2 linked regions of the Caenorhabditis elegans genome follow. The protein of the gene in region 2 interacts with the protein of the main gene of each other region in a biochemical or structural test. Each region holds a gene or a part of one and is shown on either strand. Other genes may lie near its edges.

What was found.
Region 1: the proteins of lev-11 (region 2) and tni-4 interact in far-western blotting, tested with the Caenorhabditis elegans proteins (one study listed by BioGRID).

The regions. Positions count from the first base shown.
Region 1 is NC_003282.8:5,202,479-5,207,818, forward strand, and holds tni-4 (Troponin I 4), read left to right. Parts: upstream 1-2,112; 5' UTR 2,113-2,128; coding exon 2,129-2,152; exon of another isoform or gene 2,153-2,173; intron 2,174-2,436; exon of another isoform or gene 2,437-2,457; intron 2,458-2,524; exon of another isoform or gene 2,525-2,545; intron 2,546-3,095; exon of another isoform or gene 3,096-3,116; intron 3,117-3,128; coding exon 3,129-3,369; intron 3,370-3,476; exon of another isoform or gene 3,477-3,498; intron 3,499-3,672; coding exon 3,673-3,817; intron 3,818-3,862; exon of another isoform or gene 3,863-3,883; intron 3,884-4,251; coding exon 4,252-4,426; 3' UTR 4,427-4,646; downstream 4,647-5,340. Other genes in the region: Y59E9AL.36 (RRM domain-containing protein), read right to left, coding at 4,794-5,252. UniProt on the Caenorhabditis elegans protein: Troponin I is the inhibitory subunit of troponin, the thin filament regulatory complex which confers calcium-sensitivity to muscle actomyosin ATPase activity.
Region 2 is NC_003279.8:14,628,059-14,633,127, reverse strand, and holds the start of lev-11 (Tropomyosin isoforms a/b/d/f), read left to right. Parts: upstream 1-2,033; 5' UTR 2,034-2,168; coding exon 2,169-2,213; intron 2,214-2,348; coding exon 2,349-2,486; intron 2,487-3,186; coding exon 3,187-3,243; intron 3,244-5,069. UniProt on the Caenorhabditis elegans protein: Tropomyosin, in association with the troponin complex, plays a central role in the calcium dependent regulation of muscle contraction. Involved in muscle actin filament organization and muscle arm extension and morphology.

The sequences.
Region 1 (5,340 bases), on a different chromosome or scaffold from region 2:
TTTTTTGCAAACGATGACTTTATTGTGGGTCCAAAAGAGTATTTCACAATTTTCCGATGTTATCGTATCCCGGTAATACGATGAATATGACTTATAGGTTCACTTGAAAATGCAACATTTCACCCCTCCTTTTTAACAAAAAAGATTGTCTCTAAAGAAACCCGCATGATGATGAGTACTTTGTTCCACCCCCACCTTCATAAAGCTCTTCTCTCCCATCATAGTAGCATATAGACGCAGAGAAAATAGCCGGATTTCTGTAGCTTTAAAATGGGAAAAGAGAGAGATAGTAATCAAACAAGCTCGCGCACAAAATGACAACTCTTGAGAAGTTTTCCCTTTCTCTCTTTCTATCCCCCAAACCCTATGATTATATCAGACAAAACGTGGGCTATCTTGCGCTACGAGATAGAGGCAAAAGTGCGTGGTAGGCAGAAGGCAGGTGGAGCCATTTGAAAAATGAAAAATATGTTACCGTGGGAACATATACCAACAATTACGGTTTCATCAAGGCGATATAAGTGTTTAAATCTTTCAGCGAAACTTCATTAAAACTTTCCGGACAATCATCTGCTACCCAGTTTTGAATTTTCTTATTAAAATACGGTGCCCAGTCTTACTGAAGTTCCCAAATTATGGAATTTTTTACAAGTCAAGGTTTAAAAATCGAAGAAAAATTGGCAACGACAGGGGTGGGGTCTATAGTACTATTTAAACGCGCAAATTTTTTGAATTCAACAAAATTTGCAATTGTATTTATTAAACATAATCGTATATTTTTTTGATTACTGTGAACAGTGAGAACTGCAAAAAAAATGTATTTGAAACCTTTGGACAACTTATCATATTTTTTACGGAAACTTGTACCTTCAAGTCGTGTTGTAACAAAAAATATTTTTGAGCCTCAAATCATATTTGATTTCAAACTAGTTTCTAATAGTAAGATAAAACTTGTTAGAGAAACTGAATTTATTTTCCGGTATTTTTTTTATTTTCATCATAATTTTAAATCTCCTACAGCAGTTAATGACTTATTGAAGCATTAATTAAAACGAGTACCAAAATTGATTGCCTTCAATTAAAAAAGTAGCAATCTGAAAGCTACAAAGCTCACATGTGAAGCTTTCTATGTTGTCAAAAATTCAGCAGCTGATTGGCGGTAGGCACAGTCATAAGGCAGGCAGGCAGATATTTTTCTGCCTACGTGGAATCAACTGAACATACATTTTACTGGTATAAAAATAACAGGCGATTTCCAATCATGATTCACAGTTCCCATTTTAAGCTTGTTGTTGTCCTGATAGAATTTAAATAATTTACTGTTTCTTCGATAAAATAATAGGAAATTTTTTAAAGCAAGTTAATTTATCATAGTAACGAAGTTATCATTTTGAAATGCTAAAAATTTAGTTTCTTTCAGTAGAAATATTGTCTTGATACTTTTTTTGGTCTGAAAATTTACTTTTCAGTGTCAGGCTTTTTCAGCAAAAACTAGAAGTTTTTCTAGGAACCTTGGAAATTCAAATTTTTTACTATTAGTTTTCAGTTTTAAACAAGCTTATGATTATTATACCCATAAGAAAATAATCATTTGCCTTTAAAAATGTTTCAGTTCTCATAAAATTATCTACTTCTATTCAAGAACCAAAGCAGCAACCATTTTTAATATAATTTTTTCTCACTTCAACTCCAATCCCTTCCATTTTTTTTTCCAACAATTCCCTTGACTGCAACAGACTGAGGATATTCTCAAGCACCCGCTTCTTCCCGTGATGCTCTAAATCTCTCAATAATCCATACTATTTCCATGTTACTGTAACTGAAGAGGAGGTGGTGGGAGGCGCCGGGATCCCCCTTTCGCAAATATCTTCCTCTCGTCTCTTCATTTTCCGTGCTATTTCGAAAACACACTTACCAGGCAATCGGGAAAAGCCGAGCCAATTCAGTTTCTCCGAGCAAATTTCTTGGCATTTTCGCCGTGTCCCCCACACTTTTTCGTTATCTTTTCTTTGTCTCAACCCAACTTTTACCGTTTCACAGCAATCAATGATTCATCTCGTAGATCTTGTTCTGATTGGGATCTTCTTTAAATTACGTATTAAATTATTTCAGGTGATAACCAATAACCATGAGTGACGTTGACGCTGATGAGGTGAGTCGTGGTTTTATTTCATTGCAAAGATAAAAATTGATTTGAATTTGTAAAACACATGAAACAGTAATTTTGTAAACTTTTTGGTAAACCAAAAAAAGTTTCCAGCCTTATCCCCCACATATGGATGCAGAAGTAAGTCTAGACAGTTGAAAATTTTAAGTACAGATTTGGTTTTTTTGTTGGAAATGGTTTTTATTGAGTTATTTTATATTTTTTCTTGAAATCTGAAAGAAAATTTGAGATAGTTTTTACTTGTAAAAATGAAAATATTTCCAGTGTTTTTGGGATAAACCCTTCAATAAACATGAAACTGTTTTAATTCATAAATTAACAACAATCTGAAACTGTAACAGTTTTTGAAATAGAAATGAATTAGTGGGAAACAATGCATTCGTTTACTATAATGTGACTGTAATTTGTGGGCTCGTTGAAACAATATATATATATATATATATATATTTATTCGACTAGTTTGAAAATTGTGAGCTTTGGTATAAAAAATTAGTAAAATTTAAAAAAAACGTGTTTGTGAACAAGCAAGATCTTACTAAGACCTTACTTACTAAGACGAAGCGATTGCTTTGGCGCGACTGTATATGTTCATATTATTTATATAAAAACATAGTGTTTATAGTTAGAAACATTTTTGGTTATAGTTTTTTTGAAACAGTAACTTTAAAATAAATAAAAAATTGTTCACCTTTTTGATGTATAGTGATTGTAAATGATTCATATACTTGTTGAAACTGTTTATAATGTCTTTTACTTAGTTGAAAAGCGAATTACATAAAAGCTGCCGTTACAAGACCCCATAAAGATTTTAAATACTCAGTAAGTATATTTTTAATATTAAGGATTTTTTGTTCTGCAAAATATTTTTGGTTCACCCTTGTCATGTTTCGTCTTCAGTTCAAATATTGAGTTACCGTAACCGCCATATTCCCATTTCCGTACCTCAAATTCACATTTCTAGGCGCGCAAAATGGCGGAGCGCGAGCGCAAGAAGGAAGAGGTGCGTAAGCGTCTCGAGGAGGCCTCAAGAATGAAGAAAGCCAAGAAAGGATTCTTGACACCTGAGAGAAAGAAGAAGCTTCGTAAGCTTTTGATGATGAAGGCCGCCGAAGATTTGAAGCAACAACAAATGTTGAAAGAGCAAGAGAGACAACGTATTCTTCAAGAAAGAATCATTCCACTTCCAGATTTGGATAACGAAGGTAAGTGTTCTGAAGATGAAAACAACTATTTTATGCTACTTTTGGATATCAGTAAAATGCAATTATGTATGAAAATATAGAACAAAACACTTAATTTAGTAATTAAAGAACATTTTGCTAGGATGTCAATACCTCTCCAAAATACGTTTGGTTAAATAGAAAATACGAAACAGTAAAATTTTTAAATAAAAACTTGAATTTTTTAAATCTAATAGACTACTTTAAAAAGTGTTAAAACTCTGTAAAAACTTCATAATTCCGGGCGGTTACCTACATGAGTTTTATCTTTATTAAATTTTCCAGATGACCTCGAGGCAGTCTACGATGAAATCCGCGAGAGACTCATCGATCTTGAGTCTGAAAACTATGACGTCAGCTACATCGTTCGTCAAAAGGATTTCGAGATCAACGAGTTGACCATTGCTGTCAACGATCTTCGCGGAAAATTGTTCGTTTTTTATATTTTTTGAGTTTTTGGGGGTATTCATTTTAACCACATAATTATTGGATGGCACTGAGAAAATACTTTTCGCCATTTTTGATATTACTATCTTGAAACGGGAAATTTTTTCAAATGGAAATAGGAAAATTAATTACGAAAATGACACCAAATCAAAAAATATTGATATTGTAGAAAATTTTGAGAACTGTTAGCTTCACCAATTTCGGGTCCTGACACGAACGCAAACTTTTCAGCTACAGTACACGGGAGTATACAGTTCATTTTTAGCTTCATAGAGCGAATGTTCATATGATACCCAGATGCGAAAATTTACAATTTTTAACGCAAAATACATATCAATCCCGGTCTCGACAGGACCGAATGTTGAAACGGCAAAAAATTAAAGTTTCATCCAAAAAATAAAAATTTAAAATTTCCAGCGTGAAGCCAACCCTGAAGAAGGTGTCCAAGACCGAGGGAAAATTCGACAAGCTTAAGAAGAAGGAAGCCACCAAAGTCGATTTCCGTGCTCAACTCAAGGTTGTCGACAAGAACGAATTCGCACTCGATGAGGAAGACACTGAGAAGAAGGAGAAAGCCGCGTGGGCTAAGTAATTTCCAATAAAATCATTGAAAATTTCGGATAACTGGCACCCCCTGGAAACGTCTCGTCAAATTCAACTCGATCAATCCCTTCCCATCCTAAAAAATTCTCCTTCTTTATAAAAATTTCACCTTCGCATATCCATCGCCCTATCCATTTGCTTTCTTGTTCCTGTATTTTTTGTCTAAAAATTGTGCTCTGAAACAACAAGAATAAATCAAAAAACAATATATTATACAAAAAAATCGGGATGAATAGTTCATAAAAATTGATTGATGTAGATCTAGAGATTGAACCGTGGTTTTTTTCTTGAAATTTTAACAGGGAAATGGCATGTGTGGGGATTTTACAATAATTATTAGAAAATACATTTTTAAATTAAAACTCCATATCGGGAACTTCAATAGCTTGATCTTCTCTCATTCGTTCTTGTTCCAGCCTGATCAACTCTTGCCATTGTCGCTTCATTTCCAGATACTTTTTCAACGAAAAAACTTGAATCGTCTCGAAAAATCTTCGAACCTGGCCTCCTGGAATGTACTTGGCAAGTTTTCGGCACATTTTCTTCCTCTTCCTCCGCCGATTCTTCTTCTTCTTGACAAGTTCTGGTTTCTCAATACCTTCCTCCTTTTTTGTTGGCGGTTTTTTCTTCTTCGGTTTTTCTTTTTTCGACTTTTTCTTCCTCTTGTTTCGTGATCGCTCAATATTGATGTGGTATGGAATTGGATTTTGTAGACTTTCGGAAGTCGAAGGGGCTTCGTCTTCAGGTGAAGTTGGAGGAGGAGCACGACCAGTTGAGCATGATGGGATAGAAGTCGACGGGGAGAATGCAGATTCCTGGAAATAGTTAGTTTAAGAATTATTTTCCCTTTTAATTAATGTATTTTTTAATTGTGGAGTAGCGTCGGTGGTTTTTGTTGCTCTA
Region 2 (5,069 bases):
ATTATAGTAAATATGTCATTTTGAACATTAATTCGGATAGAATGAAATTTAGAAAAGAAGTGTCTTTTCTTTTCCGACACATCCAATACGAACAGATATTATATAACGAGGTCCCCCTAGTCATATTACATGCAAGACTAATCGATAGGAAATAGTGTAGCAAGTAGCTGGTACTATTCATGGATCTATTTTTCATCACCATTATATAATCGTAATACATACATACATGCATATATACATGATCACGAATCTTAGTTGACATTAAATTATCACGACTTATTTAGAAATACTGTCTATGATAAATAGTTTTAACAAGTATTCTCCTACAAAATCATTAAATATAACCCTAAATTCAAAATAAACCACTACTATTATACCTCTTCCACATAATCCACTGATATTATCAAACAAGTTGCCCTCTTGACAATAAACTCTCGAACGCCAACTGTTTCGAATGTTTTGTCGTCGGCTGGATGCCACAATTGCTTCTTTTCGGGGATAAGAAGAAGAGCATATACACACAAGTAGTATTGGATTCTAATGTCAGGATTTCAAAAACTGAGACTCTGATCATTGACCGACTTTTGGGAATCTGAGATAAAAAAAAAGAACAATAACAAAAAAAAGTTTAAGGGAAGTAAATGCGTTTCTATGGATAGTGGGTAGGGCTGTACAAATCGGCGTCCGGTCGTCCGATTTTGACACCACCGGACGCACATGCGTCCGGTTGGGGGTAGCTATCCACGACGGCCGACAACTTCCGAGTTTCGCCACTCACTATACTTAATCAGCAATTTTATAGTGAGTGGCGAAATTCGGAAATTGTCGGCCGTCGTGGATAGCTACCCCCAACCGGACGCATGTGCGTCCGGTTCGAACTTCGGACGACCGGACGTCCGGTTGTACAGCCCTAATAGTGGGTAAAGAGAAATGGAAAAATATGGGAATGTATGAAAATTGGAAAGATGAAATGTGGTACTTCTTATTGTAAAATTAGACACTAATCAAATTCCGGAGAACAAAGCTATGTAACATGGCACTGTAAAAACTGAGCTTGTCATATTTTTTAAAATTCAGTTTTGATTGTTCAGTTTTCTTTAAAAATTCATTCATGAATAGTTACAGTAATAGGATATCTTATATCACGTGTGCATTAGTGTTGCAACCCTTTCCATAAAGTTTCAAGGTTCTTAAAAAAAGGTTCAACTGGAAAAAAACCATACTTGTAGCATACTCTTTCGTAGTGTAATATTACTAGGGAAGCCCAGATTTATGATATCTGTTCATATTGGATGTATGGTGAAAGGCAATATGATTTCGTTATGTTAGGCTTGAAGGCTTGTTAATAGGCTTTAAAAAAGGCTACCAGTAATGTTAATGTTAAGGTTGAAGCCTTGTTAGGCCTCGAAAATGAGACACTTATTTTTTAATTTTAACTCCATTAATGTTCAAATTTAAGGATGTCCTTAAAAATGTAACTAATTTTAATGACACCATTACTTTAATAATTTATTAAAGTTTTAGTCAATCTTGAGTTAAATTTTCGAAAATTTTGCAGCAATTTGATTTTACATCACTTATGGTTATTATTACTAACAGTCTAGATATATAAGAAATATCGTTACTATTTGTACGATAACGTAATTAACAATCAAATTGATAATCGTTTCAATTTTTTAATGTAAAGAGGCTCAGAACGGCTTTTGCCACGTCATCAAGCGACCACGCGAATATCGGTCCTGGAACACCATACCACCTTACTAATTATGTGGTTTTTTTTTAAAGTTTTGTTCCTTTTTCCATTCCACGAGAAACCCTTCTTCTCCCCAATCATCATCTTTTCCATCTGCCATCGGCTCTTGCTCTTCTCCCCACAATTCCCGTTGCTCCGTGTGTGCTGTAATATGCTCCAGGGGGGTGGGTGGGCAGGGATCCCATAGGCATAGGTCTCCACGAAATCAATACTATCTAATCATCTGCCACACCCCCGTCTGATGTTGTGGAGGAAGTGAGAAGAGAGAAGAAGAAGAAGAAGAAGCGGGGGCTCGTGTGGGAGGAGTCTCGTGAAGACGGGAACCTGAAGCTAACGGGAGAAGAAGAATCATTCTCCCCTCCAATTTGAATCGTCGATACTCCGTGTGTTTCAACACAACAACAAACTACCAAAAATGGACGCCATTAAGAAGAAGATGCAGGCCATGAAGATCGAGAAGGTTTCCACACTTTTTTTAAATTTTAATACTGTTTTATAGTGAATTTCTTCAACTTTTTCAATTTTAAAATTAGTAGTGGTCATATACATTCCAATATTTTGAATTTTTCCTCAAAACCATATACACATATTCTAGGACAACGCTCTCGATCGTGCCGATGCCGCTGAAGAGAAAGTCCGTCAGATCACCGAGAAGCTCGAAAGAGTCGAGGAAGAGCTCAGAGACACCCAGAAGAAGATGACTCAGACCGGAGACGATTTGGACAAGGCTCAGGTATGGGTTTAAGCCAGAATTTAGGCTCTTTGCGTATATTTTATCGATTTTAAGACCCCATATAAACTGGCTTCCTAAATTTTCGCTTAGATCTTGGTTTGATAAGACTTTAAGCTATCAGATTTTTACCAGGAAGCTTAAAAATTCATGAAAATCGCAGGAGTTTCTAGAAGTTCCAAAATATTGTCTAGCTTCTACTTTGATACCATATATAATTAGCGTATTATTAATACCTACTTTCTCAACTTAAAGCCGCTATCCCGGAAGATTTTGGCCTGAAACTGAGCAAAGTTCTGAAAAGCAGAAGTTGAGCTCTAAATTTCCTAATTTTTTGGAATCAAGCTTTTACAATACCTTATATATAGCGAATTTTGATTACAGTCCGATTTCAGAAAACAAAATTTTTTAGAGACACTGGCGCTCAAGTAACCTATAAAATCTTAAAGTATAACTAAAAATCACCCTAAAAACAAAATTCGAAATTCATAGTGCAGGGTGCTCAATTTGTAACTTTTAGCCCTAAAAATTTAACCTGGAATCTAAAATTTACCTAGGACACCACTAGAAATCAAATTCGAAGCTCATGGTGCATCGTCCACCTAGGTCTACCTGTCTCCCTGGGCTTATGCTCCTAAGCTGAAACACTTAGGCTTAAGCTAAGCTAAAAGAATAAGCTCAAAATCAAACTTCCATTTTTCAGGAGGACCTCTCCGCCGCCACCTCCAAGCTCGAGGAGAAGGAGAAGACCGTTCAAGAGGTGAGTCGACTTTCTTTTTAAAGCCCAATCCGGGCAGCTTTTGGTTTCTAAACCGACTTCAGGTATTTCCAATTCCCAATCCACAAGCACAACGACCAGGTTTGTGGCGCGATGTTCAAAGTCAATTAATCCGTTAATTAGTCAGTGAGTAGTTGGAATGAAGAGAGAGAGATACATACATATATACAGCTAGTTTTCCATTCCTGTCCTTTTGGGCATGAAAATGAGTGAGAGAGGGTGACGTTGATGATGATCCGCGGTTTTTTTCTCTTTTCCACCCTCTTTCTCTCACTTCCCATAGGCTTCTTCCCCCACCGGGGTAGCTATTGTTTTGTGTGTGTGTGTGTGTCTTCTTTTTTCAATAATGTTCATATATATATATATATATTGTTTCTTCAAATGTTTGGTATACATTGTACTGTATTCAATCATGATTCACTTTTTTCATTCCGTCGAGAGTCAGAGATAGGGTACTGTAGAAATCCTTCTTTCCCGAAAAAGACTTGATCAGGGTGTGGCTGTTATCTAGTTAGCATGTTATATAACATTATGTAATGATGTTCAAACCAGATTGGCATCACTTTTAGCTCGGTTTTCCAGATTTCCCAATTTTGTAAGTTGTCATTATACTGTTTTATTGAAAACTGATTGTGAGCAAAAAGTGTTGTCAATTTATGTAATTCCCTTTAGTCATTGCTATACGTTCTTGAAAAAATTTTGTTGGCTTAAAACATTCTTAAGCTCCGGCCTTAGCCAAATTTTGCAAGGCTACTTTTCAATATTTCGGAAAATTCTAAGTGGTGCCATGTGATATTTAATTTTCTAGCTTAACAAGCTATTAGTTTTCAAGTACTGATCCTAAAAATTTAAAGCTTAGAGCAGTGGCATTTTTTTTGGAATTTCACTAGTCTGGCGGTAACTTTAAGCGAATGTGATCTATTAACACGTGGTGCCAGGTTGTCTCATTGAAGTTTGATCTACAAAAAATGTGGGAATTTTTAGTCAGCACATTCTTAGCCATGCGAAATCAGTTAAGAACTGTGCGTCTCTTCTCCCGCATTTATGTAGATCAAACCGAAGTGAGCCACTCTGACACCACGTGTAATATAATAATCCAGCAGAATTCAAATTCCTCGTGGTGATTTTTCATGCATTACTTTTCATAGTCTTCGAAAAAAATGCTCAATATTTCCAACTTCGGAGTATTTCAAGTGTATGTTAAGCCTATTTTGAATCCCACGCATCACCGAATTTATCTAGATTCCTAGAATATCTACAGTGCATTTTTTTCCACTTCTCCAACTTTAAAGGAGGGCGCATTTATACGAAATGGTCCCGCCACGCGGCCCAAAAATCAATGCGTGGCGGGACCATTTCGTGTAAGTGCGCCCTCCTTTAAAGCGGTAGAAGTGGAAAAATATCAGTGATTTTTAGGAAAAAAACCTTTTTTTGTCGAGAACTTTTTTCCCTCTCCCGACGTTTTTTTTGCACACAACTTGGCGCGCCGAAATCCAATTTCTTTGCGAAAAGCTCAATCCCATTTTCCGTTACTGCTCAAATGAGCGAGAGGCGAAGAAGAAGAAGAAGATAAAGTTCGAGGAGTGTATGAAGTGCTGTTGGGGGCTTCCTTCCCCTGCCTGCGCCATTGTCTAATCTCTAAGTCTCTCTAGCTTCTCTCTCTCTCTCAATTTCTTCTCTTCCAACTGATTACAACGAGATGTTTGCTTTACAACAACTCCTCCCCGCCAATAGGCTCCCGAGGGCTCACTGAGCATCAACGGGCGGCGCGGCGGGAAAGAGAGAGAGAGAGCATCTCCCCCGCAATT